3 linked regions of the Drosophila melanogaster genome follow. Changing the gene in region 3 together with the main gene of any one other region gives a genetic interaction. Each region holds a gene or a part of one and is shown on either strand. Other genes may lie near its edges.

What was found. Genes that interact genetically often act in the same process or in processes that back each other up.
Region 1: of put (region 3) and I-2, changing one enhances a phenotype caused by changing the other (phenotypic enhancement), as found in Drosophila melanogaster (one study listed by BioGRID).
Region 2: of put (region 3) and ea, changing one enhances a phenotype caused by changing the other (phenotypic enhancement), as found in Drosophila melanogaster (one study listed by BioGRID).

The regions. Positions count from the first base shown.
Region 1 is NT_037436.4:9,832,142-9,839,487, forward strand, and holds I-2 (Inhibitor-2), read right to left. Parts: upstream 4,365-7,346; coding exon 4,068-4,364; intron 4,006-4,067; coding exon 3,908-4,005; intron 3,840-3,907; coding exon 3,672-3,839; intron 3,293-3,671; coding exon 3,198-3,292; intron 3,142-3,197; coding exon 2,867-3,141; 3' UTR 2,226-2,866; downstream 1-2,225. Other genes in the region: CG43897 (uncharacterized protein), read left to right, coding at 58-538, 598-725, 787-876; Cdk8 (Cyclin-dependent kinase 8), read right to left, coding at 5,038-6,271, 6,334-6,464.
Region 2 is NT_033777.3:15,325,908-15,332,633, reverse strand, and holds ea (easter), read right to left. Parts: upstream 3,906-6,726; 5' UTR 3,702-3,905; coding exon 3,641-3,701; intron 3,552-3,640; exon of another isoform or gene 3,455-3,551; coding exon 3,068-3,454; intron 3,004-3,067; coding exon 2,273-3,003; 3' UTR 2,226-2,272; downstream 1-2,225. Other genes in the region: Fkbp39 (FK506-binding protein 39kD), read left to right, coding at 1-18, 86-930; mRpL9 (mitochondrial ribosomal protein L9), read right to left, coding at 1,077-1,751, 1,809-1,880; CG6236 (uncharacterized protein), read left to right, coding at 4,589-4,707, 4,854-5,004, 5,071-5,258, 5,321-5,924, 5,982-6,342, 6,399-6,703. UniProt on the Drosophila melanogaster protein: Component of the extracellular signaling pathway that establishes the dorsal-ventral pathway of the embryo.
Region 3 is NT_033777.3:14,617,893-14,628,281, forward strand, and holds put (punt), read right to left. Parts: upstream 7,812-10,389; 5' UTR 7,354-7,811; coding exon 7,308-7,353; intron 5,781-7,307; coding exon 5,595-5,780; intron 5,528-5,594; coding exon 5,351-5,527; intron 4,412-5,350; coding exon 4,266-4,411; intron 4,198-4,265; coding exon 3,382-4,197; intron 3,322-3,381; coding exon 3,142-3,321; coding exon of another isoform or gene 3,130-3,141; 3' UTR 1,138-3,129; downstream 1-1,137. Other genes in the region: CG14853 (uncharacterized protein), read left to right, coding at 2-129; His4r (histone H4 replacement), read left to right, coding at 8,158-8,337, 8,402-8,533; CG7886 (uncharacterized protein), read right to left, coding at 9,118-9,795, 9,874-10,318, 10,377-10,389.

The DNA.
Region 1 (7,346 bases), on a different chromosome or scaffold from region 3:
CACCACCAAACACCACCACACCACTGCACCACTGCACCATCGGTTGAATCTCAGCAGCAGCAGTACGGTGCTCCGTCTTACGATGGCCAGCAGCCTGGAGCACAGTGGCAACAGCAACAGCAGCAGCAGCAGGTTCCGCAGCAGCAGTATCAGCCTCAATCGCAGGCTCAGGCGCCCTATCAGCCACCACAGTGGAACCAGCCGCAGCAGCAGCAGCAGCAGCCATCGTACCAGGCTTCACCGTACCAACAGCAGCAACAGCAACAGCCATCCTATTACCCACAGCAAAATGGTGGCTCGACCTATGCTCAACCCCCATACAATTCTTATTCGCAGCCCCAGTTGCCCTACTCGCAGGATCAGACTGATCTGCAGCAGCAGCAACAACAGCAGCAGCAGCAGTATCCGGGAGCCTACGCTGGCCAGGATAGCTACCGGGGCGCCAGTCCCGGCATCATCACCCTGCGCAAGGAGGCTCCAGTCAGCCAGAAGCCTGCACCAGTCTACACTTCGCAGCCAGCCGCCGTCAGTTATCAGGGTACTGTGGATCACCTTAAATTAGTTAACTTATAGTTAACATTTATAAAATTATTCTAGGAGGCAGCAAATTGCGCGGAGATTTGAAATGGCCACCACCGGAGTACAAGGAGGCCGCGGCTCGCGAGAACGAGGAACGACGCCAGTTGGCGTTGGGTCCCGTCTGCCGTCCCAGGAGAGTTAACCGGGTAGGATATAGCCGCTTAAGATACATATCAATTCGATATTAATGCATATGTGTAATAGCAGGACTACACACCCTTCTTTGCCAAGCACCAGTTGAACAATGGCTATCCCAGCTACAAGGTGCCTCCGGGCACCCAGCACATTTTCGGCTAAGTTTGGGAAAGACTCTTTCAGATGCCAAGAACAACAACAACAACAACAGCATAAAATTCAATGGAACCCACTTCATAATAATACTGAAAACGATCAATGTCTATGTTACTAAAACGAAACACTAACGAATCAATCTATCTATATAGGATATATACAATTGTTATACTAATCTTAAATGACCACTAACGACGCCATATATACTATACATATATTACGAAACGAACCCATGTTAGGTGAATGCAATACTACAGCAGGTGTGACACCAACCGGTGAATCATCTTCAATATTATCCGTATAAATATAGATGCTCGCTGATTCCACGATCAGATTGCATCCACTCGAGATAATACTAATGATGATTCGTGGGCTTGGAACCCTGATCCAAGCTGCCCAAACGGTGCAGCAATGGATAACGAAAATCTCCATGCACCCATACTATATACACATATTTGGAGCATGTGCATATAGTATGGCTTAGATTGGAGACCAGAACTATATGCTATATGCTATATAGTGCTAGATGCTAAGATGATTGTTAAACTATTAACTAGCAAATGAAATGGAAACGATGCGACCCAAGACGGAAAAATGATAATGAGATTGAACCTTGTCTTAGATGTAAGAGCAATACTAAACTATTTATTGTGAGCATATTCTATTTAACGCAGATCCCGTGCAGCGATGAGCTCAAGGAATCCTCTGGGCGAACCACAATCACCAATTGTAAATTGTTCCCCGATATCGTGGCACATCCTTTGGAGCCGCTCGCACGGGTTTCTCAATGTTTATTGTTTGAGTTTGCATGCTTTTTGCTTATATCTATATTATATGCACATATATATATATATATATATATATTTACCTTGAAATTGTTAAACTGCAAATTATAAAAAACCGTCAAATATCCCGCTATAAGTAAGTTATACAAGAAACCAGGCGACCGCGCCGAAACAAATCTGTGAGTTCGAAATATGTCATTCAAGGATATTAAATTCAACGCGCACGTTCGGATTATGCCACCCCTATAAGGCCCCATCAGTCCCCCTTCCAGCCGTCTGAGGTCGGCCCTTTAGTTCGCCCGCTGACCCCAGGCAATAATATGAGGATGCCTTTGCCTGCTGGACGAGCAGCCGCGGACTCAGGGCCCAGATCTTGGCGTATGGATGGGGGATGAGGCCGGGGCGAGATCGAGGACGGGCCAACACAACTCTCAGACTTTACCAATTACTATGACCAGCAATGTCTATACGCAACTACACTACGATGTATAACTAATATGAAATGAGAAACTAAATAAACGGCAAGTTTTGAATACTCGCGACGAGAAGAACTATTTCGAAGGTTTTTTTCAATTGGGTTTTTGGACTCTCTTTATTGAAACGCTCGGCTCGCATTCGATGGCTAAAACTTAATAGTAATCATAATAGTATCGTATTAATAAATAACTAAAAGTAAGGCCAAATCAATTTCAACGCTAGTTACAACAAGTTATCCATTCTGTGGCACTGGGCATCCAATCAAATTAAATGCAAACGGAGCTGCGAACGGGTTGGCTTTCCATCTCGATATCAATTTGAAAGACTTTTGTTTAACTACATTTGCAACAATACAGGACGCTACGGCTGAGACGCATACGATTAATTATATTTTGTGTCGTACAATCAAATTCTCCGACCAGGTGCACATTCTTTGTGCTCTAAACTCAATTTGCAACAATAAAGTGCCCCTCGGCTTATCGGCTGTGTTCACTACTCGATGACGCATCTCCTTGGCGACGGTTTGTTTTTTGTGTTTAGTTGGGTAAATTCAATTAATCACGAGTGCTCCTCGCCACCCTGCTAATCAGCATCCACTTCTCACTCCGCACTCGCACAGCACTTGATAATTTGATATAATTTCGTTTGTTTATTGTTTTGGATGAGCTGCCCTCAGAATCGTCCATTGTCCGCTAGGTAAACATTAGTGATTGATTGATGGGTTGACATTGCTTCTAGTTATTCGATGGCTCCAGGTCCATGTTCTGGCCGGCGCTGGTAGACGGGGATGTGGTGGAGTCAGCCTGAGAGCTCGACCGTTTGGTCGAACTGCTCGCGAAACGTCCGGAGCTGGAAGCGCCCTGTGACGAGCCCGAGGGCCGGCTATCCGCACCCTTGTCCTCGTCGTCATCGTCGTCGTCCTCCTCCTGGATCAGTTTTCGTGCCAGTTTGACGGCCTCAAACTCGCGATAGTGGGCCTTACGGCGTCGCTCGAATTCGCGCCGCCGTTCTGCAAGCAAATATGTTTGAGCAATTGTTGGAATCTGAGATGTTCATGGTACTTACGTCGCTCCTCTTCGCTAAGGGGCTGGTCATCACCGGAGGAACCATCGTCCTCGATGCTCTCTGTCGACGGCTGTGTGTTAGCCGCTATGCGGAGTCTGCAAATTAGTATGTGTTTTTAGTAATTGTAAGTGCAATAATATGTAAACTACAAAATGACTGGCACGGCTTTAAAATAAGTCTTCAAATTTCAAAAAAAACTTTTTCTTTTCAAACAAATTATTGATTATGAATTTAGCTAGTTATATTCTTAAGAAATCTGAGGCAGTCATATTGCTCAATAATGTTGATATATTTGATTATCATTTTGCAAATCGTATAATTATCAACGATTGTTTAATCTCTGAATCTATAAGTCACATGTAAACAAACAAATGTGAACGGCGCATTTTCTGGAAATCAGTTTTGTTTGAAACTTGATACTCTGTGCTCTTGCCAAACCATTTAGCAAGTAAACAATAGGAAAGCTCCACATACTTCTCCACTAGCAACTCCGTGTCCAGCTCGTCCCTGTTCTCGTCGAAGCCCTCCGTGTAGTTGTACGGCGTTTTGGGCTCATCGATTTTCATGTGTCCGTAGTCCTTGTCGGCCGGATGGAAGGTCTGCATCACGTTCAGCTCATCGAACTTGGCACTTTTGCGAAAACTTTTTAAAAGGATGAAAAAGAAACCAATTAATAAGGGCTATTAACTGGGGTCATTCGATGACCTCACCTGGCTCCCGACTTGTCGAAGCTACGCGAAGTCTTTAGTATACCCTTGCAGGGTAGCTGTGGGCTGGGATTGTTCTGCATCCTGGCTATCTGTGTTACCTGTAACAATGGGCAAAGACCAGAGTGTGCTTTAGTTGCGAACAATGCACGCGGATAATTACGTCAGGCGGTTGGGAGTCATTGATGATTTCGTAGATTTTATGGTTGTTGTTTCTGTTGCTGCTGCCACTGTTGCTGCTGGACAATCGTGAATCACGGCGGCAGTAGCCGAACAGGCACTGAAATCGCGATGTTCGCCAGATTATAATGGCACAGGTCGCGGCGAAACCTCGTGCCCTTGGAGGGGTTGCCATTGCCGCCCACTGGGTGGCCACTACGGCCAGCAATGCCCCACCAACACCCCGCTGGACATCCGACGCATTGTTGTCGTCCGCCTCCGCCTGCACCACCGCCTCCATTCCGAATCCCACTTACTTGTGTGACTTTCGCCTGTTAACTGCAATTGCAACTGCGTTTCCGGAGGGCAATTTACGCCACAATCTTCAAGTTGGCAGCCAGCTGGGTTTTGGGCGAGGGCCACGATCTCATCGATGTCGCCAGACGGGCGGTTTTGATCTTAATTTGGAAAACGTTAGATTTGGCTCTTTACGCTTTAATGGTCACTGTGTGGATATTCTCTTCTAATTTGTATTGCAAAGCAAATGGCAAATCCGGTAAAATATTCTAACAAATTCTACTAGAGCTGGCAACACAGCGATGGCACCTTCGATTACATTTAATCGATACTTGCGTATCGTGACCCAAGCCGACACAAAAACATAACATGCTTTAAATAAATAGCTCAGACTCGAACCAATTTTAAAAATAGTTTTCAAAACTTCGTTTGAGAAATTCATTTTTGAGAGGAAAGAACATGCATTCAAATTTATTTTTGAATATCCTTCGGAAAGATATTTCAACGAATTTGAGTTAATTGGAGTTCACAAAATTAAATAAAGAAAACCCTGTCCATTAAAAATCAACGTTTTATATCGTACACTTTACTTGCTATTATCAAGGTCATTAAATTAAATACTTAGAAGGCTAGAAATTAGTAGGTGTTGTAGAAAAAATGCTGCATGTATCAGTCTCTCAGTTGAAGCGCTGGAAGTTCTGCTGCTGATTGAACATCATCTGTTGCTGCTGCTGCTGCTGTTGTTGCTGCTGCTGCTGTTGCTGCTGCTGCTGGTGGTGAAAATCTTGCTGGTTACCAGCTCCGGACAATCGAACTCTCTTTGCATTCGGCTCAGCGTTCATTTGCTGCTGCTGCTGCTGCTGTTGTTGTTGCTGCTGCTGTTGCTGCTGCTGTTGCTGCTGTTGTTGCTGCTGCTGTTGCTGCTGTCGCTTATTATCCGACTTATCTTCCTGGTCGTCGTCGGTGAGGAATTCACGCTTGGGATACGGTATGGGGCAGCCGGCGAACACGTCCTGCGTGGGCTGCGGCTCCTCCTGGAAGTACTGATCCTGCATGGCCTGTTCGGAGGTGATGCGCTTGTTGGGATCCATTAGCAGCAGCTTCTGCAGCAGGTGAAAGGCCTTGCTGTCTGGCTTTATTTTGTGCCTTTCCATGTATTTGGCCAGCGAGCAGGTGGAGTATGTGGAGCGTTTAAAGTCCTTTGTCAGCGTATGATGTTCCGGCATCTTCTTGATATCCTCCCAGTCCTTGTCCTGCGGAAAGCCCATCACATTGAAGATGCGGTCTAGCTGATCGTGATGGTACGGATTACTGGTCTTTATGTCCTCCTGGCGGCAATGGAAGATGGGCTCCGAAGTGAGTAGTTCGGCGAAAATACAGCCAATAGCCCAGATGTCGATAGCCTTGGTGTAGTGACGAGCGCCAAGCAGCAGTTCCGGAGCGCGATACCAAAAGGTAACCACCACGGGATCCAGATCTGCCAGCGGTTTCAATGGGGCATTGAAGAGCCGCGCGAAACCCATGTCGGCGATTTTTACGCGGCCCCTCTCGTTGCCATCGCCCATCACCAGGATGTTGGCCGGCTTCAGGTCACGATGTAGCACCCAATTACTGTGCAGATAGTGAATCCCATCCAGAATCTGATATAGCAGACTTTTAACCATACCGCGGGGAACCACAACCTGCTTTTTGGTGGCCTTAGCAGCCCGATGGAACTTAATGATGTGCCACAGGTCGTGCTCCGCATAGTCGATCAACAGGAACACCTTGCGGTCGTTGTGCGACAGAAACACCCGGATGAGGGTAATTACGTTCTGATGCTTCAGTTCGCGCAGCAATGCGATCTCGCGGCAGGCGGACATGGACAATCCGGTGCCGTCGATCTGCTTCAAGGCATATTCTTTGCCATCGCTAAAGAACATGAATACTATAATTATTTATATTGTTTGAAGAGCACCCGATGACCAGTTCACCTTGTCTCCTTCCATTTCGCCTTGTAGACGTGGCCGTATGTTCCGCGTCCCACCTTACAGCCCTCGTAGTTGAATAGGTCCTCCACTTTCGTACGCTCTATCTGCGTTTTCATCTTGAAATCGTAGTCCATTTTTACAAAAGTTTGCAAATTCCACAATTGTTTGTAAATGAAGATGCCGCCAATCAGCTGTCTCCCGATAACGATAACACAGCCTTAACCAGGGATGGAAAATGGGAACAGTGCTCGCCATACCTAGCTTTTTTTATAGCTAGCCTTTTAAAACAGAAAACATTTTTTTATAATTTTGTTTTTTTTAATTTTTTGTTTACTGTTTAAAAAATTCTATTGTATCCACAAACAAGCAAAGCCAGAAAAACTTTCTGTATATTTCATTCAACCTCGTAAAAAAAAAACTTGTTTCTAAAGAAAGAAAGAAAATAGAAATATAATCCCCCTAAATATTTTTGAATTCTGAACCAAATCAAATACATATATATTGGATGTTATATAGAAAAATAGGTAATCCAATAGTACTTGACAAGGTGCTTGTATAATCCTATCACAATAAAATATGAAAGCTCTATCAATAATAAACTCAAAAGAAAACGAAATCAAAATTTATCCATTGGCGATACGCTTTATTTTTCCCTTGGAAAATATCTATGTTTTTATTTTCGATTCTTTGTACCAACAACTTATCAGCTAGGCATGGTAAAAGTAAACTATAATTGTGTCCTTAAAATGCAAGTGAAATTATATGTATATGAACCACGTTGGAAACTCCAAACAATTTAAATTCATAGCAACATCTCGTCGTGTTTCTTTCTCCGTTTCGTATCTCTATGTACATTATGCAGATATTAGAATTAAGAAATGCACAAATTATTGGATTGGAATGCATAAACAAAAGGCAATATGATTGAACGCGGCGAAGGAAGACACTTTTCAATGCGATTGATGAACACTGAACTAAATATGGCAAAAATTAGATTATTTAACATTCTAGTTCTA
Region 2 (6,726 bases), 710 kb from region 3:
TCATGTTCTACACCGCCGGTAAGACCTTTTATGTCCACTATGTTCGCATGTTTATCCGTTTCTGACGCTTTCGTTCGTTTCACAGGCGACGCCAGCGTTTCTCTGTTGGGCTACTTGCACGACATTGATTCCGAAGATGATGAGGATGACGATCAAATGACGATCGAGAATTTGCTGAACTCCAAGGCGATCAAGAATAGCAAAAAGTCTGAAGATGATGAGGATGAGAATGAGAGCGGCGAGGAGGACGAGGAGGATACTGATGACGATAGCCAGATAATCGAGGAATACGAGTCCTTCCTCGAAAATGGTGAGGAGGAAGATGACGACGATGTTGATGAGGATAACGAGGAGAGTGGCGAGGAGGATGAACAGGACAGCGACGACTCCGAAGCTGAAGAGGAACAGCCAAAGGCCAAGGTTGCCAAGCTCTCTCCTGGCGCTAGCGCCAAGAAATCTGGCAAGGAGCAGAACGGTGTGGCCAAGAAGGAGGAGGCCAAGCAGCAGCAAAAGAAGAAGGAGAAGCCAGAGGCCAAGAAGGAACAACCCAAGGCCAAGGAGCCAGCCAAGCAGCAACCAGCTTCTAAGGATCCACGTACTATCACCGGAGGCGTGAAGATTGTGGATCAGGTCGTCGGCAAAGGCGAAGAAGCCAAGCAGGGCAAACGCGTATCTGTTTACTACATCGGCCGCCTGCAGTCGAACAACAAGACCTTCGACAGCCTCCTGAAGGGAAAACCATTTAAGTTCGCCCTGGGCGGCGGAGAGGTCATCAAGGGCTGGGACGTGGGAGTCGCCGGCATGAAGGTGGGCGGCAAGCGAGTCATTACCTGCCCCCCGCACATGGCGTACGGCGCACGGGGAGCTCCACCGAAGATCGGACCGAACTCCACTCTCGTCTTCGAAGTGGAACTGAAAGCTGTGCATTAGTGCACTATATTAACATCATATAGACTTGTAATCCTAAGTAAGTATCCACGTCGTACAACTTGATAAAAATGTTAAATAAACTCTGTTTTCCGGCTGTTCATAAATCAACAGTTTTGTAACAATCGCATGTATTTGGTATGGGGTCTCTAAGGGGTTTTTTCGGGTGAACATACATCCAGCAGGGGCTCAGACTGGAGTTTCCAGTGCTCGAGTACGTAAGGCAGCCGTTCGCTGGGATCTGTGCTCCAGTGGTGCAGACGACACTTGAGTCGCGCCTGTTCCAGCTTGTTTATGGTCACAGTGCAGTAGAAGTCCTTGTTCTCCTTCTTCAGGTCGGGTCCCTCGATGCGCTCCTTGGGCAGGGTAATGCACTCCTCGCGACAATAGAACCCAGTCTTGCGCAGCGAGGCCTTGATGTGCCAGGGCTCGAGCACCCATGGCTCATCCTTGTTCATGACCACCGCCAGCACAATGGTCTCCAGCATGTTGACCGTGCGCTGGGCGTAGGGGGAGCTGTGTTTAACAGTCGATTTTTCAGCCTCTGTCTTGGCGTACTTGGCCACATTCTCCGGCGTATTGTACGCGGCCAAACCCGGCAGCAGGAGCTTATTGTAGACAAAGTGCGGCTTCATTGACACCACGTCGCCCTTGTCGCCAACGCCCTCGACGAAGGTCTTTAGCACCACCTCGATGTTGGGCCGCTTTTTGACCAGCGTGTCGTCCACGAGCTCGTAGATGAAGTTCTTGGCCCTCATCCGGCGGGGTTTCTCGTTGGTTTTGTGCAGCGGCGGGTCATATTTGCGCTTCAGGACGAACGTGGTCTGGAAGCAAATTGGTGGTGAATGGGGATCGCTTCCCTAATCCAGGAGAGCACTTACCCGCACTTGCTGCTGCAGGCTGGTGGCCGATTTAAGCAAATTTAACGGCGTTACGTAGATGTTCTTCAACATTTTTACCACCAATATGTCTGCGTTGCCAGACTACTCAGCCAGTTTGCAGTGTTGCCAGATATGATTATTTAATCTGCGTGAGTTCAGCAGTAAAATTTTCAGTGACTTTGAAAACGATTATGAATTTAGTTTTTTTATTGCAACTATTTCTTTACATTTTAATAAAGCAAAATAATTTGCCCAATTTACCTTTTAATTGATTAAAAAAAATGTACCTTTGAAAGTATTATGACTGTCAATTTTAATTTAATAGTTTCATTACAAAATAAAAGATTGACTATGCCAATATTTCGGCGAACGCGCCCATCGACATGCAGTATGCGTACACGCTGTGAAGCAGTTTTTAAACGGAAACCGTTAGTCGAATTTATTTACAATATGACATTTTACAATCAGGACTCAATAGTGTTTTGTATCCAATCAACGTACTTGCCCACCAGCGTGTAAACTCCTGGCCATCCGGCCAGACCGCACGGAGTCGGTCCAAATGACACGACGCCGGCCAGGAAGTAGTAGGTGTTCACCTTGTTGGTGTCCAAGCCGATGAGCGGTCCCCCGGAGTCACCGCGACAGGAGTCGACGCCTTCCTTGCCGCCGGCACACATCTGTGTGTCCTCGAGGAGAATGTCCTGGCTGCTGTAGACGTTCTGGCACTCATCCATCCGGAATCCCTCCACGGCTGCCTTCAGCTTGAGGTTGCTGGCCGACAGCTGCTCCGTTTTGCCCCAGCCGGCCACGTCCATGGTGATGCCGTCGAAGGTGGCCGACCGCAGATTGACGTCCAGAGGCAGGCAAATGGGTCGCACAAAGTCGGTGTACTCCACCTGCTGGGCCAGACGCAGCAGGGCTATGTCGTTGACCTGGTTCTTGGAGGCCGGTATATAGTCGGGATGGGGTATAGTACGCTCCACGGGCACGTCCAGATGCGGTGGCGCGCAGTCCTTCATGCCGCGCACATCTACTTCGCAATCGGGATTAGTGTTGGTGTCCCATTCGCCCAAACGAACACCGGACAACCGCCAGTCGGTGGGCAGTGCCTTTCCGTTGACACAATGCGAGGCTGTGATCACATATCTTGTGCTGATCAAGGATCCGCCGCAATGGTGACCCTTTTTGCCCTGGCCTGCATGTAGGAATTAACCAGTGGATAAGTGCGTTCAGACTTAAGACGATGCCCCTCTACTTACTTTTGGTGTATTCAATTAGAGCCATCCAGGGGAACTCGTCGATCTTGGTCTTCATTCCGCCATAGATGCGATTGGACAGGATGTTGCCGCATTGTCCTGGCAGCGGCAGAAGGCTGTTGCTGGTTACATTGGGCTTGGGCGGTGGCGTCGTCTCCGATGAGCTCTCCCTGTAGCGGTCCGGACAGCAGATGAGCACCTTGCCGTTCGTATAGCCGCACTGGCTGCGACTCAGGTAAAGCCGGTCCGTGTCCCGGAGCGGGGTGGTGGTCAGCAGGCCGTATAGGTACTTGCAGTCCTCCAGATGGATGCACAGCGCACGCTCCCGATTCGGCGTTATGCAGCGCCCATAGTTGGGCACCTGGGCCGCCTCGTTGGGGAAGTAGAACTCTGGAAATCCAGACTTTAGGTTCAGAGAGCTTACCAATATTGTGAATACATAAATTAGGTCATTAGCTATGGAAGTACGGAAACAGGTTTCCAGCGACTTGTGAAGGCCCGCGGCAAAAAAAAACAAATACGTTAAGCTAGTCATGTCCAGCAGATGAGCATCTTGGCAGTCTTCTATTTACTTACGGCCCGCCGATGATTTCGCCAAAATGCCCAAAAAGAGGCAGATAATCGATGGCTTTAGCATTTTCGTTGCGCAATCGGACCTCGTTAGTCCTTTCTCAAGACGTCGTCAGTGGTTTGCGGATAATGTTTTGCCTAAAAACAATATTACAGACCGACCGCAGAAGCAGTTATCAAAATAAACGGCGCGATAATATGGACGATACCAGGTGCCACAGCGGAGCGGAGTGAAACGAAGAGGCCGAAGCTGAGCTTGGCGCACAACTGAATCTTCGGACGGACGCGGTTCTCGGCCTGCGAGCTTTGTCGCAAGCTTTTTGGCGAGTCTCCAAATCAGATATGAAGATAATCGTGGGAGCAGATCTTTATCTCTCTTCCAATTATTATTCTTAGTAATTGTCAGTTGGCTTATTTAACTTTGGTACTAATAGAATTTACTTTGTCACATGCTGAGTGTAAGTAAAGTACTCGGCAAATTTAAGGGAGTATCTACCATTATTTAATCCCCGCCTAAGTTCGATTGTATCACATGGTGTTTTGATAGCAAAAAGCACTATCATTAACGATAAGCTAACGGTATATTTCGTTCTACAGCAAACTGAAAGTTCTACCGACTTTAAATCGGACCTAAAGCAAAGTTTAAAGTCGCAGTTTAAATTGCAGCGGTCGCGTTGCCAAACAACACAGTATGACCGAATTCGCAATGTTGTTTGCCACTGTTTTGGCAACTCGCATATAGCGGTACGTCGCAGCTGGTGATAAGTTAAATGTTTAATTTAAAAAATGAGCGTGGATATTTAGTAAAGGTCGAATAGGCGGCAAGTTTGGAGATCGGCAGTGGTGTAAGTAGTACGTCGCTTGAGTGCCGAGTGAGTGCTGTATGTGCAGCAATAATGCGAATGCAAGTCTCATGTGTCTGGTCCGATATTTGCAGCTCATAATTTATTCAAAATGCGCTTTGTGCGGCGGGGAACTGTCCCCAAGATTGCAGCATGTTGCTGTGTGGTGGTCCTGCTGGTCACCTGGTATGTGTTGAACGTGGAGCGGGATCTGGATAAGAGCCTCAAAATGTAAGTATGTCTAGTTGTGCGTCACAGCGGCTTGGGATATTGATTGTACGATGTTTGTCCATACATATGTATATGTACATATGCGCATATTTGTGATAAAGAGTATTTATCTTTTGCAACTAATTCAATTTTGTATTTAATTAAAGCGAAATCATCGAGCGCTCCATAAGATCGGCTGTGAATCGTGGCGAGTGCCGGCATCCCCATCTGCCGCTGGACAATCCGGACATCATGAAGTTCTACAAGCCGGTTGAGCGAATAAACTGCGGCGAGGGCATGGACTGGGTCATGTGTGAGGTTGGTTGGGACTGGGCCCCTTCTACAAGAGCTGATTGCTTAACTTAAACCTCGTTTCCCCCAAAGAAATCCATTTGCTTTGTGCGACCAGAGATTGCGTCCAGCCACGAGGATGTGATCTGCTCCTACACGGACATTATTCGCAAGTCGGACTACAAGGTTCGCTTTGGGCAGTCACTGCGCATGAAGGAGCCCTATGTGCTGCAGGCCAGCGACTTTGTCAAGGTGGTCTGTCGATCCTCCAGCGGCGAGAGGTGACCATTATCTTATTTTATAGTTATGCCTATACTTTAAAGAATGATCTTCATGTACTTAGTTGGTTTGGCATGGCCCACGGAATACGGGATACGGTGCCCCGTCCACCGGCCTCCAATTTCTCCCCGAACTTGGCCGTCCTACCACCCGAGGCGGTTGCGCAGGCCCAGCAGCAGATGCAGGATGGGGCCACAGCTCCCATCTACAATGTCCTCATGTTTGGCTTCGATTCGCTGAGTCGCAATGCCTTCATTCGCAAGCTGCCCAGGACCTACGAGTATCTCACCCAACAGTTGGGCGCCACCGTTCTCAAAGGCTATAACATTGTGGGCGATGGTACGCCACAGGCGCTGGTGCCCCTACTGACGGGTTTCACGGAACTGGAGCTGCCGGAGACAAGGAAGCGGTTGTCCGGGGCAGGCAGCGTGGATTCGTATCCTATGATTTGGAAGGATTTTGCCCGCCTGGGATATATGACCTCCTTTAATGAGGATTTGCCCAATGTGGGCACTTTCACGTACCGCATGACAGGGTTTGAGGCCCAGCCGGTGGACCACTACCTGCGTACCTACTATGTCCAGGCGGAGCACATGGCCGCCGAGAGCAAGCCCAACTGCATTGGCCACCAGCCTGATCACATCACCATGCTGGAGTACACAAAAAACGTATGTTCTCTTTCGAAATGTGCTTGGAAACTAACTCATTGTATAATTTTCGTACAGTTTATGCTTAAGTATCGCGATGCACCGCGCTTTGCCTTCAGCTTCCATGGCGGCTTGTCCCACGACTCCATCAACTTAGTGGGAGCAGCGGATGATGATGTCCATGACTGGCTGGTGGCGCTCAAGGAACGATCGCTGCTAGACGACACCATTCTCATCATGATGGCCGATCATGGCAATCGATTTGCCGAGGTGCGAGCCACTCTGCAGGGAAAACAGGAAGAGCGTCTGCCGTTCTTCAGTTTCGTATTTCCCGAGTCGTTTAAGAAGCGCTTTCCGCAGGAGTACAAAAACTTTCTGGCCAACGAGCATCACCTGACCACGCCATTCGACATTCATGCCACGCTGAAACACGTAATACGTATGTACGACAGAGCGTTAGACATCTACAAGATAATAATGCTGGATTTTTCACAGAACTGCAAACCGCTGTGGATCAATTTGGAGAAATAAACGATCCGAAAACTGAAACAAGCCCGCCTGGGATTCGCATCTCGGAGTTAGCCCGTGGACGTGCCATGTCGCTGTTGGATCCAATTCCGAGCAATCGATCCTGTGCGGATGCCTACATAGAGCCTCACTGGTGTGCCTGCCTCAATTGGCTGCCATTGCAGCTGAACGACTCCCGGTATACGGGCATCATTCTCAAGGCTGCCCAAAGTATTGTAAATGCCATCAACTTGGCCACAGTCGAGCAACGCCAATACTGTGCACCTCTGGAGGTTCGAATCATCAATTTAATGAT
Region 3 (10,389 bases):
GGCAACAAAGTACCCTCCGCCTCCTGCAGCGACTCAGAATCCCCGACAGAACCGCTCACCCAACGCCTGGCGGCCATCCTGCGCTCTAAGTGCGGCGTATCCGGTGGTGGGTCAGATGAGACCTACTAAAACCATATATGTGTATACTCGTATATACTCAATCCCAAAACTGTGCAGAAATTCTTTTGGTGTGGATAGTGCTGACGATTTGCTTACAGAATGATGTTTGATTTCTTGCCCGCTGCACAGGGGCATCTATATATTCTTGTATAACTATTTATATAAACACACTCCACCCTTTGCCCGGCTAGTTTTTCCACTAGTGCGATCGCTTTACGAACCTAGAAACCGTCCCTAACTGCATACTCTCGTATCTCGTATCTTGTATCTTCACTTGCAAAGTTTTCTCCCTAGGACAAACATATCGTACAAACTCAATAAGTACTTATATATACATTAATACCTATTTATACTATTATATATTGTACATGTTAAGCCTAGAACCCAATAAAGATATACTCGATACAGTAAGCTGAGAATGGCTAAGGATTAGGTGATTATACACACACACGGAATGCGAAACCGAATCAATATAGATTTACATAGATTTACAAGTATATATTTTAGTAAGACACCCATTCAGAACGCACAGGACTTGGAATGCTTTACATTTTTGCATTTGATAGAGATCGATTTTTTCCCCAGGATATAGAAGAATGAGAGTTACGAAGCCAAGGATAAGTCTGATATGTCTATAAAACAGACGGAGGATGGAACGAACGATCGTAGAACTACAACTGAAATGGTCCAATGTCACAAACTACGTAGAAGATTGTAAATATATATATTTTGTATCAATTAAGCCTGTACTAGAGTCTATATATTCGTTCGATTTCGTTGTATAAGTTAATCAGGGACATAACTCTAAAAACTCCCCCAGTAATAAACCGTATATTTAATATTATTCATATAAATATTTGTATCTGATATGTGTAGCTCTTGGCTAAGTTTTCCTATCTGTATTGTTGAATTATATAATCCAGAAGGTCTGAATGTTTACGGAAGACAATTGTAATAAAAGTGGCAAGAAAGCTGGAATAGAGTCGATTTTTATTAAGGAAAAACCGGTGATGAATTGTTTATTAAACAGTTGCATTTTTATTTTAAATCCGTTATTATCAAAGATCGTTTTTTAATCGTAAACTTCTTAACACGACTTGCTATCATCTCGTATATGTTTTTCGCATATTGGTTTTTATAAAACTTTGCTGATGATATTCGAAAATGGGGTGTTTTAAAAAGATTTTCTTATGAATTTACTGTTTATAAACTCGTTTTGGTTTTACTTATGAAATGCATTAAAAAATATACCAAAATTGCTGTTGGCTTGTTATTGCCTTGTATAATGCTATAAAAATTTCTCTGCAAATCTTTTTGAAATGATCGATTTATATTATCTTCCTCTATCCCATTTAGCAATCTGATATGTAACAAACTACTATGATTAAATATTAATTGTTTATTCCTTCGCTCTTTAAATACTGGTTGTTTTTGAATTCGTTTCTTATTATCTTCATTATCATTATGTTCGTCGTAATGATGTTTCAGCACCAATGGAAAATATACAAATTAAATACAGCATAACAAAATTCGTTCTATTATTAAGATTATGTCGTTTGGTTTTTGTTTGTTTGCGTAATAAACTATTTTTGTTGTAAGTTGCTCAAAAAAATCAGGTAATGAAGCTTTGTTTGTTTCGTTTTGTTCTGTGTTGTGTATCGTGTTTAGTTGATATCTTAACTGATAATCCAGAAGTATTTCAGATGCTTAGCCATTGATAAGAACTGATGCTGCGCAAAAAAGTTTCAAATAACCCGAAAGATAATACATTCCGCCAAGACTCTCTTAATTAAACTATAGCTTAAATAACTATAGCTCGACATACACCTTGTTTGGCTAACATTATAAGACATACTATCCGTTTAACAATGTTTAACATACTTACTCATTGTGTTTAGCTCTAATTTCTTACAGTGTGTGCATACCTCTTGGGTTGAATATTAACTTTGATTTTTTTTTTGTTTAGATTTTATGCTGACGATGAGTCGCAGCGTGTGCTTCATATAAACCTGCTAGACTGCGTGTGTTCCGTATGCCTATGCGTGTATGTGTTGTGTGTATATATAAAGAGTATAGTTTATATTTTATAATTTATGTATATGCGCTTAAGTTAGATTCTTGTTAAAAAGAAACTTTCCTTTGAAAACTTCAGGTGTTGCTTGTACTGTCCAGTAGAATTAGAATACAATTACATAATTACACATTTATTATGCTTACGCGATTTCTGAGGGTCATTGGCACTACGTTTTGGAAATAAAAAAATAAAAATCAAAAGCAGAAATATAAAACAGACAAAATAATAAAAAATCAGATGGTTAGGATGGAGTTTAAAGTATTTTTATTTAAAATACAACATTAAAACGCATGCACGTTTGAGCGCGAAATAAAAACGTTACAACTAAAAAGTAAACTAAAATTGTTAAATCTATTTTGAAAATAACTTTAAATATAAAACTACTACTATATGAAGACATTCGATAACGTACAAATAAAATTATACTTTAAAAGGCTTGACGATAATTTTCAACAGTTTACATATGCACACAGGCTACTGCCAGAGGGCAAAACAAATTGTACGTTATATGTATGATTTATATAGAACTATATATGGTTATCAGTCAATGAAGTCAATGTCGGATTAGCAACTACCACGTCTCTGGACATAGCTAATGCTCTTTGTTCAAAGTTGCTTAGTGTACGTTTCCACTCATTTCCAACAGATTTAAGAACTCGGGTTAACATCGAATGAGTCGATTTATAATTTAAAGAAAATAATAACAAAGAATCGTTGGCATGTTAAGCTTTTGGCTTTTCCCTTAGGAAAAGTTACATCTTACACGACTTCTTTCGTATAAATCAACCCATTCTATAGCTGCTTATAATGGTACTACAAACTATTAAACTAAAAACGAAACGTCTTACGACCTCGACGATCAACTATCCACTACGAAGCAAAAAGCTTCAACTGATTTTTTTGCAGAGCCACAGATCCGCTGGCTGGTCTGTGGCTTAGTACCGCTTCTATAAGCAATTCGTAGATTCCTTGGCGTCGTCAATGTTGGTGTGGTTCTTGATTAGCAACTGGGTTGAGGGATACTTGTTTAGCTGCGCAAAGCGTTCCATCACACACGAAGAGCTAAGACGAGCCTCAGCGTCGTGATCCCAGCACTCCTCCATTGTGTCGCAGAATACATTAAGTCCCTGTAAAAAAGTTACAAGTTATTTTCATTGACTAAAAGCATTATCAGAAGTCACACTCACCGGATGGGCGCGCCAGGAGTTGAGCAAACGAGGGCGCAGCTTCTTCATTACCACACTCTCCTGAACTTCGTCCAGCGACGGCCTCAGGCCCAGCTCGGCCTCAAAAGGCAGCTGGAACTCACCGACGGGTCCGGCAAAGTCACACCGTGACACCATTTCCCAGAGGACTAGGCCGCATGCGTAGACGTCTATGCGTAAGAAAGCGTCTCTATTGAAATTGATGGCACCCTCAAGCACCTCTGGGGCCATGTAACGTCGAGTGCCTACTTGACCGTGTGTATCGCCGCAGGGCTTGCCTGGCTGGAATATCATGGCCAAACCAAAGTCAGCTATACAGGCCGTCAGATCGCTCTTAAGCAGTACGTTCTTAGACTTGAAGTCTCGGTGAGCTATCGATGGTTTTAGCCCATCGGTCTTTGATGCCGGGATCTCCTCGTGCAGATGTGCCAGTCCATTGGCCATGGACTCAGCGATGCGGCACAACTCTGGCCATGAGATCGTGTGCGATTTGAGGTAGTCGCATAGTGATCCGTTATGCTGGTAGGTGGATATCAGCCAATATTCCGGCTTGTCCATGTGCTTCTCAACGCCCAGGAATTCGAGGATGTTCGGATGGCGCATGCGCGGCAGCTTGTAGATATCGTGCTCCGTGGTCCACGATTCTTTTTCCTGCATGCGAAAGATCTTGACGGCCACATCCTGATTGTTGAGCTTGGCTTGCCACACATCACCGAATCTACCACTGGCCTTCTGTTCCAGCAGCTGAATGGGACGGTTGCTGAGCAATGGCGATGAGTTTGTTATCTCAGCCTCGTGCTAAAGGGTTTAATTTTGCATAATTAAAATTATATATTTGCGGCAACATCACAAGGATATGTACGTACCGTGGGTATCTCGTTAAAGTGCGCCTGCTTGCGGCGTCGGTAGAGAAGAAGGCCCATGCCAACAATGACCATGAGCACGCTGAAAACGGAGGTGCCAATGTAGATGTATATCAAATTGCTGCCGTCCTGCGTCTTCTCCTTGGGCACTGCAACGATACAAGGACACACACGGGAACGAACATTAAAGAGGGCTTTAAACGCTGCCTTGCCACAGGTGAACAACATCTCGAGTGGCGGCATGCACCTGCAGCTGCTGGGGTTGCTATGAAAGGCAAAACGAAAACTAAAAAACGAAAGTTCGCCCCCAATTTCGCATCTCTTTTTCCCCTCATTTTGTTTCGAGATAAAAGCGAGCTAGGCCCAAGAACAAAACAACAAAGAGCAGGGCACAAAAGACGCCCTGGCAGCACAGGGCTTCGAAGTCAAAGGCAGCAGCAACACCCCAAAAATAAAAACAAGAAAGGATGCTAGAATGAAGTCACTCGACACTTGTATACCTGGTATTAGATAACAGATACTCTCCTCGTTGTGGGTTAAGGCTGCAAGCCAATTAAGTATCATTCAAAATAGGTAGAGTCTAATCCTATTAAGCCTTCATAATCGGAGTGAAATAAATTGGATTTATACCAAATAACTACCTCTTTCAGTTGCATCCTTTAAAGCGAACGCATTATACCCGATCGCTAAAGAAGTACCTTACTATAAAAATAAAAACGAACCAGCGAACGTGCACAGGAGGGCAGAAATTGCAACACATGCGGCTCCGAAAAGGGGTTGCTGGAGGCTGGGGATGTAGAAAATGATGGGGGAGCGGGCGCCACTTCGCGTCAAGAGTTCGTTAACACGAAAAACGCTGCCTCGGATGCGAGGAGTGGTATTTTGTAGGCGAAGCCTACGCCCTCTTTTTGCAACTTGAAGATGCAGTAAAAATACAAAAAAAAAAAAAAAAAACGAAATAACAAAAACAAACAAAAAATATATGCAAACGGAAAAATAACAAAATTGGGGTAAACACTCCAAAGACAAAACCCCAGTAGCAGCAAACGTTAAACCGAATCTGAATCCGAAACCGGATCCGAACCCACCTTGTGTGGTTGCCTCCGTGGTGCTTTTAATATATTTCTGGTTGGAATTGCACCGCGATCCCTTGCAGCAGCAGAAGTGAATGTTTCCCTGCCGTGGCTCTGCACTGGTCACGCACTCCGTCTGATTGCATTCGTGCATGTCCGTGAAGCAGCCCTTCATCTTGATGCGCAGGATGCCTATGGGAACGGAAAAATTAAAATTAATCAGTATGCCTGAAACAACGTCAACTTCTGCACGGCTCACCCGTTGTCTCGTTGACCGACCAAAGGACATAGCAGCTGGGAAACTTATCCGCCTCCATCTTACAGTGCTCTATCCGTGTTTCACATTGCTGCGTTGTGTTGCACATCTTCTCGTCGAAGTGCTCGCATTCTATGATCCCATGACTTCCGGGCAAAATAGATCCATGGATTCCAATCAGACAGCAGACTAAATGAAGACAATGGGAAAATAGATTAATAATCTTTCTAGTTTTAGATTAGCACTGATCTATATTTAAAGTATATATTTGAGCAGTCCTAAAACATGAGTAAAGACTTTCAAAAAGTTAAAACGTAGTTAAAGATCAAAGTTAATGGAATTATCGGTTGGAAGTGCTCAAAGGGTGGGCAAATAAAGTCGAGCCTATTTGGGGAATAAGACTGAAAGGGAGGGCGCTCAGCGAGCTCTTTGTGGGCGCTATCCTTTGTACACATATCGCATGCCCAGAAGTAGCAGGAGTAGCGTCCTAAGCTGGGGCCTCTGCCATTGAAAGCCACCCCATTTGGGCACGGAATTAGCCCCACTGGCCACACACCAGCCTTTGAGTGGGCATGGCCCCAATGCACGGATATGCAGTGCACAGTGGGCCTGCAGTAAGGTTTCTTGAAAATCTATTTACATTCTTTAATTCGATTTAATCTGGGATCCTCATCCAAATACCGAAATTTTTGTTGATAAAAATTAAAATGATAATTCACTTTTTAAATGTGTAAATACAAAAAATTTAATTTTGAAAACGTTTATTGCAACGAGCCTGCGATATATTGATTGATATTTCTTGACCATTGGCTAAGCAAACTGTTTTCAATCCTTTGAAACACTTTTCGTCCCACTGTCCTTTAGGTAATCGGATCGCTGGCCATGTATGTGTGTGTTCGTAAGCGTGCATGCTTTATAGTAAAGTAGATACATAAGCAGGCACATTATGCACACAGAAAGGGATGGGTTTAAAGTGGCGCTTGTGCGGAAAAAGGAAACAGCAGCAGCAGAAACAACAACAACAACAGCAGCAACAGGGAAGAGAGCGCACTGCGCCACAGAAAGAGAGAGGGCTATGGCGAGCGAAAGAGAGGGAGGCCGGTGGAGCAAAAGGGTGGGAGAAACCAGAACCTGCCATACAACAAGTTCCTAATGCAGCAAAATCCATTCAAAGAAATGCTCAGCGCACACACACATGGATTAAGATTGGGAATTAGGTATCCGATCGATTTATACCGAGTATGCGTTTGGCGCTCAACATATGAATTCGTAGTACCCACTGTCAACAATTCTTACGATATTTTACTACATTTGTGTAGTACAATTGTTGGTGCTTTAATAGAGTATCTAGTGTATACATTATTCACTTCACAAATAGATTTGATTCCTAGCATTTACATTCGTTATACCTAATTTCTGAAAATTTAAGATGTTCTGATGTGTTGGTTAATAGGACAAAGCTATCACAAAGCCTATACACCCTATATATGAACTTTTCAAGCGCCATGTGATATTAATAAAGTAATAGCATTACGCACCCCATATCATCAAAAATCACACGCACGAATGGTTATAAATCGAAGTCGGCTTGCATTACAGAGGAAAATCGTAAGGCAGAGACAAAATATAATATTATGTACATATGTACATAATAAAGCGACTGGGAATTAAGGCGCCAATAAGTATGCACCCACACACTCGCAGTGCAATACATACCCAGCGTTAGCTGCGCCGTTAGATAAAGCAGATCGTATTTGGACATTGTTATCGCCTGTGCAAACTTGTTTACAGCACTCGTTGCGTATACGTAACGCGAATATTTCGATGTTTCGGGGACAGGTGCAGTGGAATGGAATAACTGGGTACTGTTAATATTATTTTGGCACAGAGTTCCTGTTGTCTTCGCACTTTTCGAGTACAGCACTAAGTGTGTATGTGTGGGTGGCCGAGTGTGTGTGCGGTGCCTTGGCAGCGATTTTGCTGGCCACACGCCGTTTGCATGCGCATTTCCGCGGGTTTTACTCGACTTTTCGCCGCGACTTAATTTTAAGCTAGAGGGGCACAGTTGAAAAAGTATATGCGCGCTGCACTTTTTCGTTTTTCGCAGGTCTGCGGGCCTGTTTTCAAGCGATTTTAGTGCGAGCACGTCTTTCGGTTCGATTAAATCTTTTTTGTCGCAACGGGGCGGCGATAGCGATGGCCGATAGGCGATAACTGACCAGGGCTGGTAGTGAGACAATAGAAATACTAGATACGCGCATTTTGCGAAAGGTATTTTGAGGTGTGCGAGATCTGGTCACGCTCACAAGCAATTTTCTGGAGATTTCTTGAAGTGAGTTTTGTTGCTGAGAAATTTAAGTAAATAATAGAAGAATCGGTCAACAAAGTTTTTTTGTGCATAAACATAAAAAAAATAATTGGAGACCATTATTTTGTATGAAAACAGACTTATTAACAACAGTTTTCACCTGTCAAATGAACGTTTACCTTTCACCAAACATGGCGTCGCTTTACAGTTTATTGCGTCTTCTCTTCTTTTCAGCCAACTTTACGAAGCAACTGAGAAATGACTGGTCGTGGAAAGGGAGGCAAAGGATTGGGAAAGGGGGGCGCCAAGCGTCATCGTAAGGTGCTTCGTGATAACATCCAGGGTATCACCAAGCCTGCTATTCGCCGTTTGGCTCGTCGCGGCGGTGTTAAGCGTATCTCTGGCTTGATTTACGAGGAAACTCGCGGTGTGCTAAAGGTACGTTCTGGCGAAACGAAGGGAAAGTGGTGAAAAACTGATTAATTTCTCGGAAAATTCACAGGTATTCCTTGAGAACGTTATCCGTGACGCTGTCACCTACACCGAGCACGCCAAGCGCAAGACCGTGACCGCCATGGACGTGGTCTATGCCCTCAAGCGCCAGGGACGCACCCTTTACGGATTTGGCGGTTAAGCACGCCCTCTAACCTCCACATAATAAATAACCATGGAGTTAACTTAACTACATTCAAAATACTTGATCCAATTGAATCTTAATCAGTAGTATTCAACGCAAACTTAACCGAACGCAAATATTTTATAATTTCACAATATACGGACTAAATAAATCAAAAGATATCACATAGAGAACTCAATATCATGCATATGTGCATTTTGACTTGGGGCGGTTAATCATCCGAAAATAAGGTCCAACAAACTCGCTTAGGGAGCACACAAATAATAAATCTTTAATGGAAATTAGTAAGACCAAAGTATATTTTTGTACATTTTTGGTGCAGCTTGAATTCGCAGATGGCAGGACGTGCAAAAAGGAGCAGGTTCCCTTTTCTACTGCTACTGCCCGGGAGTATGACTGCAAATTTAGCTCTCCCAGTGGGGATCCTATCGAATCGAGTTGGCTGCTTTGTTGTGGGTGTGATGGTGGTGGTAGTGGTGTTGTTGTTGTTACTGCTCGGCGTATCAGCCAGCTGTGGTGTCGCTGCTCCGGCTGCGAATGGCTGCGGGGATTTTGAATGGAGGAACCTAAAGTCACGACCCCTAGGCGCTCTGCTCCCGCTGCTTCTGGAGCTGCAGGGACATGTAGACATTGGCCGGGGATATGACATTTTGGTCGCCGAAATCGCCAGAGCCTCCACCACCGCCGGCATCTCCGTCGCCGGCCTCTTCTGTGAGTGACATGGACTCCGATTGCTTGCGCCGCACAAAGACATGCATGGAGGAGTATTTCGAGCTACTAAGTAACGTGGAGTCCGTCGCCTCCGTCTCGTAGTCTGAGTTCTCCAGCGTAACGTCCGTTGAGGAGAGTTCTTCGGAGCGGGACATATACGACGACTCCATGTGCATGTCGCCGACTGGTACCTGAAGATCGTCCTCAGGCCGAGGTTTAAGGCGCTTTTTCCCCGTTTTACCAGCATTCGCTTGTCGTTCCAGATTGCTAACGAACTGCGCCACATGTCCATCGCTGGCGCCTGGGACACGTTTTTGCACCAAAGCCTCGACCAGTTGAGATTGCCTCTGCCTCCTGTGGGATCCGTCACCCACGCCCACCACATAGCCGTGCTCGTAGCCCCGCTTGACTGGCTGCTGCTGCTGCTCATGCTCATAGTTGTAGACATAGGCCGTATCGCCCCCGCCGCCCTCGTATCGGTGGCCAGGATTGACCATCACATTGTCGCCAATGTCCGTCTCGAATTGAACAGAGGGATTAAGCTTGAACTGTGGGGATAAGATGGGTTATCGTACAGGAGAATAAATTGCTAGTACTGGTTAATTTATATTGTGGATACTACTCACATCTCTCTCGTTGGCAAACTCATGGTCCGACTTGGACTCGCGATTCTTTTTGGCTGCCTCCTTGGGATTGTTTTCCACATACTTAATCTCACTGCGAACCTTGCGCACCTGGAGATGTTTGCGTTGGACCTGCATTTGCTGTTCGTAATGCTGTTGCTCCTCGTTCTGCGGCTCCGACTCGGATTGACTTTCCTCCGCCTGCTGTTCCTCCTCCTCCTCCTCCTCCTCTTCCTCCACGTCCAAGTCCACCTTTTTCTGCACGTCGCGCAGATTTCGGATTTGCTGCTCCAAGGAAAGATGCTTGACCTCCATTGGTGGGGGTTGTTGACGTTGCAGCTGCTGCTCCTTGCGCAATGTGACAATCTCGCTGCGGGGTGTGACTTCGGGACTGGTGGCCGCACTGTTGACCAGCCGGTTGAAGTGCGACTGGCGGTAGCTTTGGGAACTGTGAAGAAATACTCAAATCAGATAGGCATTGAATTGAGAATTGAGAGCTAGCCCACTTTTTGATGACTT